Xenopus tropicalis: one gene and its partner. The protein of the gene in region 1 interacts with the protein of each later gene in a biochemical or structural test. Links are inferred from orthologs where the notes say so. Each region holds a gene or a part of one and is shown on either strand. Other genes may lie near its edges.

The links.
Region 2: of the proteins of map3k1 (region 1) and chuk, one has a biochemical effect on the other in vitro, tested with the Homo sapiens proteins (3 studies listed by BioGRID). The link is inferred for Xenopus tropicalis from reciprocal best matches to the Homo sapiens genes MAP3K1 and CHUK.

The regions. Positions count from the first base shown.
Region 1 is NC_030677.2:190,914,111-190,916,823, reverse strand, and holds part of map3k1 (mitogen-activated protein kinase kinase kinase 1), read left to right. Parts: intron 1-15; coding exon 16-147; intron 148-1,103; coding exon 1,104-1,253; 3' UTR 1,254-2,713. UniProt on the Homo sapiens protein: Component of a protein kinase signal transduction cascade. Activates the ERK and JNK kinase pathways by phosphorylation of MAP2K1 and MAP2K4. May phosphorylate the MAPK8/JNK1 kinase.
Region 2 is NC_030683.2:110,582,594-110,586,256, forward strand, and holds part of chuk (inhibitor of nuclear factor kappa-B kinase subunit alpha), read right to left. Parts: intron 3,054-3,663; coding exon 2,939-3,053; intron 2,219-2,938; coding exon 2,149-2,218; intron 291-2,148; coding exon 202-290; intron 104-201; coding exon 14-103; intron 1-13.

The sequences.
Region 1 (2,713 bases):
CCCCGATTCATGTAGGTGCTGAGAGGGCAACAGTATGGAAGAAGCTGTGATGTGTGGAGTCTTGGCTGCAGCATAATAGAGATGGCATGTGCTAAACCTCCATGGAATGCAGAGAAGCACTCTAACCATCTTGCACTTATATTCAAGGTAATAAAATGCATATGGGAAATGTTAATAAGATGTAATGATAGGTTAATATCATACCTGGTGTTTTCTCCACTGTTGGTTTTACCTTTTGCATTTTTGGATGAAATATGCCTTGTGTGAGCATTTACAAGTGCCATTGTAATCAGTTTTTATAAATAAAGATAGCACGTCAGCCTTAAGCATGCCATACACTGCAAGATGCTTTTGTTTGAGGAAGCTGCCAAATGAGGGTATCTGAGCCCAATATGGCCACCCACACACTGGGCCAAATTGGGCTGTTGATCATATAGAGGGGCCTACTGACCCACAGAATAAAGACCACATCAACTCGACTATTCTTGCCTGGTAAATATTTGGCTGAATTCCAGCCACATATTGATCAGACAGGCCCATCTGTGGGCCTCATACATGGGTCAATAAGCTGTTGACTTAGTCTGGAAGGCCATACACTAAAAGATCAGCTTGTTTGGCATCCTCAACAAAGGAACAGATCTTTCACCGGTACGTCCACCTTGAGCAATATTGGTTTGCGGCATAAGGACCGCATTAACATCTGGATGATTATTGGCCAGATATCAGTTGGGTAGGCCTGTCTCTGTTCCTGTGGTGCAGTGGTATTATGGAAGGTGCTAGAATTGGTTAAGCTAGATTTTCAGACTGTACCCTGCCAACCCCAGCAGTGTGCTCAAGGTTTTATGATATTTTCCACTGATTTATTCAAACAATTGGAATTGTAATGGTAATCAACTGAAGGTTTAGCTGTGAGCTTTGTTGCTGACTGCTTGCTATAGGCTAAAAAACCTCAGCTGCATCCCTACCTTGGACTCTCCAGCAGCTATAAAAAGTAATGGTGCTTATTGTGGCTTTATCCTTATCTTGTTGAGAATGTATTTCCATAGTAAGCCAGGCCTGCCCCCTTTCCTGCTAGCTCATAGTTCATTTTTTTTTTTTTGCAGATTGCAAGTGCTACAACGGCCCCAACGATCCCACCACACCTCTCTCCAGGATTACGGGATGTAACCCTCCGATGTCTGGAGCTCCAGCCCCAAGATAGACCACCATCCCGAGAACTACTGAAGCACCCGGTCTTTCGAACAAAGTGGTAGAGAAATACGTGGCAGAGAACTTCCCGGTTGTTAGTGACTGAGAGGACAGGAAACTTATTGCTGTAGAACAATACTGTCTTCTAAGCCATAAGTATACTGCTGTGCAGATCCCCAGCCTGTGCGTGACATTCAGGATCTCTAAAGCTTGAGAGTATGGAGATTTAAATCTCTCTAACAAGATTTATATAAAATATATATATTACTATGTTTTATAAAAAAGTGCCTTTTTGGAAACCCGCTCTCCAGATTAGATAAGTGGTTGCATGGCCAGAAGTGGTCGCGGTTTTCCAAAATCTATACAAATTGAATTTTGTAGCCCCACAAAGAAAACTTGTGCAACTTTTTTATCCCACATGTGACATTGTGGCACACGCAGTATATTTGTAACAAAATAGTGTTCTTCGGGTGTCTATGAAGCTCTCCTCAAAGACTCTGTCTTTCATAGTGTCATGTGACAAAGACGGCCGAGGAACTGCCTTTTCTCTCCACGTGTGGGAAAACAGTACAAACGGCCATAATATTGCAATGTGTAAATACTGTCTACACTGTATTCTTCCACTGTCGTACCCCGTGGGATGATCAGCATCTTCACACCTGTATTCCTTTTCCTCATTTTAAAGTTAAATCATTTCATGTGTAATGAAAAGAGTATTTTTGTACTATATTATAGGACCACCACTTATGTACAGTAGGTGTCAGAGGTCTAAATCCACTACCATAAACTGATTATTTCAACTTTTATCCAGATTGGATTCTAGTTTGTTTCCAATAGGATTCCAGTATTTTTACTAAATGATGGCAACAAAAGTTTGTATTTAGTGACCATCAAACTGCCCCAGTATCTGCTACTTTTGCTATCTGCCTTGATCATCGCTGCAGCACTCTCTGGTATTGATCTCTGCAGGTTTATGCAGAATTTCAAAGAGATTTTCATGTGAGGTTTTGCTTTTTTTTTCCCCCAAAGACGCTCATTGGTGTTGGGGTAAATGGGGAGGGAAAGCCCTACATGGCAGCGCTTCAGGCAGAATACAGCTTCAGTGGATATTTAGGAGCATGAAAGCTCTTCCATGCCACTTTAAGCCATATTGGATGCAGACACTGTTCTATATTGCTCTTCAGTGGCTGCGGTCACTTTAGGTTTTACTTTGAATGAAAAGCACTTGTATTGTGAAGATCTCCACTGCATGTTCGACTTTTCCCAGTGGTATAACTATAGAGGGGGGCAGGCAAAGGCAGGAACAGGGGGCTTGCGAGGGTAGTTGTGGGTACCCTGTGATGCACCGGTAATTGACCCCTAATTTTGTCCAGGGGGAAGGGACCCAAAAAAAGCCTCAGAGGATTCCTTCCTGACTGCTCCCTTTAGAAATTATGAAATCAGAGCTCACCATAGAAAAACTCACCCACACTCTATTGATTCCTGTGGGATTTTTAGAAGTGTATTTATCAAATGGTGAACTTTA
Region 2 (3,663 bases), on another chromosome or scaffold:
GCAAACAACATACCAGGTACTGCAGTGTTCCTACAAAGGATGTACAAAGACTTCCCTGATCTAAGTCTTTGGCATATCCCAAGTCGATGATTTTGTGAACAGTCTACAAAAAGCACAAAATATTACAAATAGTTATTATTTATATATATTTTTTCACAAAGAACAAAGCTCAGCAGCTTTCACCTATACACAAAAACCTACCTTCCCATTACATTCTTGCAGCACTATGTTTTCTGGTTTGAGGTCTCTGTGTATGATCCTCTTCTCATGCAGATATTGTATTCCAGAACCTATGATAATAATAAACCTAAATCAGTTGATTCTCTGCAAGAATTGTTGTAGGCTAAAGAAACAGGATGAAGGATATACTTAAACAGGAGATGCACTGTTAAATGGATATTAAGCAGAGTTGAATACAACAAAAGTGGTAAGTTGCATTTTCTTATCACTTACCAGTATTTAACATATTTTTAAGGTTTTATTTTACCCTGTTTAAGTTACTGTGTGTGGGTCCTTTAGCCCAGTTACTAAGGCATTCAAACTGAACTGGAATACATTCTGCCCCCAGATCCCCCCCAAGTCGAAAACAAAAGAAAAGATCAAGTAAGAAACAATAACAGACGACAATATATTAGAGAGAACATTGGTTGCAAGATTGCCACAGGCGCTTGTGGGGGCACAAATGTTAATAACCCAAAAAGTAGTACAACAGGGCTTCAATTTTAACCAACATCCCCACTGTTGTAATCCCCAAAGCTATTGGCTGTACCGATCTATATCTCAGCCTGCCCTTAAAGGTTAGCTGCTGCAGTCTGCCTGGCATGTCCCAAGCTGGATTTTCTAATGAGAATTGTGTAAAAATAGCTTATATTGTAGGAGTAGAAGGCAGGAGGACTGTAACATTTAACATAATCGGTCCAAAGTCCATATATTTGTATATATCCAAAGAAAATGCCATATAAAACAAATAACAGTCAGGGTAGACAAATTAGACAAAACAATCCTATTGGGTTTATTTAATGTTTAAATAATTTTTTAAAATAGTGATCCATATTACAAAAAGACCCCTTATCCGGAACACCAGGTCCAAGCATTCTGGATAACAGGTCCCATACCTGTACTATTAGTTTACTTAGGAACTTCAAGTTGCTCAAACTAAAAGTGGCAGCTTATCTGTCCATGTATGGGTCCCTCTGATGGGCCCCTTCCATCACCCAGCTAGCTGTCGTCTGGCAGGTTTGAAAATCTCAATATAAAATTGTGCTTCAAGGTTTGAAAATCTCGTTGGATAAAAAGGTATCTTGTACCTGAGGGTAACTAAACTGCATGACTCCATATTGCTAACAAAAAATCCTACAGGGTTTATTTAATATGAAAGGGTGAAGACACACAGAGCTACTACTGTAGTAGCAGCTACTTGTCACGGCTACAAAAATAGACAATGCTCAATGATCATTTACTGATAATTGTCTTATCAGAGGCAATTCTCAGTATGGCAGGGTATTTTCTGGCGCTTAGTAGCCGTGACAAGTACCCCAGTGTGTTTATTCCCTAAATGTTTTTTTAGCAGACGTGAAATATGGATCCAAATTACAGAAAGATCCCTTAAGCATTCTGGGTAATAGCATCTATACCTGACTTATTCTACAGTGCTGCAGAATATGTTGATGCTTTATAAAGTTATATTAATAATAATAACATGAAATTTCAGAAATGTTTGCATCTTATCTCCCATATGTTATATGGTACTAACATTATACATACTAAATATGAATGCTAGGGGTCTCCTGAATAGTTAAATTACCAAAATGTATGGGATAACCATAGTATGTTGCATGCACTTCAGCTATCTATGGTGCATGTAGCAGACCTAAATTGAACATTTTGTACATACAATTTTATGTAGAAAAACTGTAAGATCAGAGATAGAAATGCCAGTGCCACTAGTCATGCTGGGTAAGGAAAGTGATTAGCACAAACAAGCAATCGACAGCAGTGTAGAGATCACAATAGTGCAAAATAATGGCTAAAAACAAAATAAGGTCAGAGAAATCAAATGTGATAGGAAGAAAAGACAACAGCAGAATTTGATGCCGTTGTTTTATTTGATTGGACATCACACATTTTAGAATACGTTGCTTTACTCACCTATGTCACTCATTAAATTTAGCACTTGACTTTCCTTCAAACCACAGCAGTTTTCTGGTTTATTTAGAAGCTGAAAAAGATACAATACTTAGGAACACTTACCGCATGTTAATTGTAGAAAATTCTATAGTGACACTAATTTTAACAACTAACATACAGCAAAGTGGGTTATGCCACATTCTACACCTGGTACAAATTCTAACATACAAGCCAATTGTTATGGGTTAAAATAGTAGTGACCTGCCAATAAATGCAGCTAATGCGTCCCATCTTGTATATATATTTCATTCAGTCTCTCATTACAACAACTCCCTGCACTAAAAGAAAATATAATTCTACTTTTCAGTATGAATTTATTGAAAATTTGTAATGCTTTAAAAGTTGTTTGTAAATGTAATTGCTATTGAAAGCAGCATTTGCTTTACTCCTAGTTTTTCTTAACAATGTTGCAAAGGTCAGTCTCCTCCAGCAAGAGAGGTCTGTCAGTCTGCTGCCTTGTGTTACATTGTTTCAAGAGTCAGAACCACCAAGACATTACCAGTAGGCAGAAGTGACATTACTCGGGAGGCAGATCACCCATGTCAGGGGAAAAAAATTACTTTTAAGTTCAGGAGGTGGGGGGAATACGAGCATGCACTCAGGTACCTGCGGACCACCCCAATATGCTGTAAATATATGTCTTAAAAACTGAACCAACAATGAAAAAAATGTAGCTCTTACATTTAGAATTAATATGGGCATCAGTATTGTAAGTGCTAGAGATAAATGACTATATTGTGACATGGCTCACCTTTCGCAAATCCCCTCCAGCACAGTATTCCATGGCTAGGTGAGGGACGTCATTAACAAGGAAATCCATCTCCGGTGGAACTTCACAAGCTTTCACAACATTTGGATGATTTAACCTAATTAGAAAGAAAGAGGTTTAATGGGATTCTGTCATGATTTTACATAACAAATAATTAATTCTACCATTTAATATTTTATTCTTGAACCAACAAATGTATTTTTTTGGCTGTAATATTGGTGTGTAGGCACCATCTCAGTGCATTGTGCCTGAGTCTGAGCTTTCAGAAGGAGCCAGCGCTACACATTAGAACTGCTTTCAGCTAACCTATTGTTTCTCCTACTCCCATGTAACTGGAGGAGTCTCAAGCCGGACTTGGATTTCTTACTATTGAGTGCTATTCATATATATATAACAGTAAAAATAGGAAACCTTCAAAGTTATAACTGCTGCATCACATAGACTGAATAGAAAGATAAGTAATAAAAAGTAACAAATAGCAATAAAATTGTAGCCTCACTAGCCATAGTTTTGGATGGCCAGGGTTTGTACTGAGGAGATCCTTTATATAACTATATATGTGACGATAATATAAATTCACAAACAATTCTGAATAATTGTTATTACGCTGCATTGAGAGAGCACCTTCTAAAATCAAACTGTGTCAAGCTCCCACATTGTACTTCTGCTCTCAGTCTCAGTGGGGAAATTAATGGGGTATACAGGGG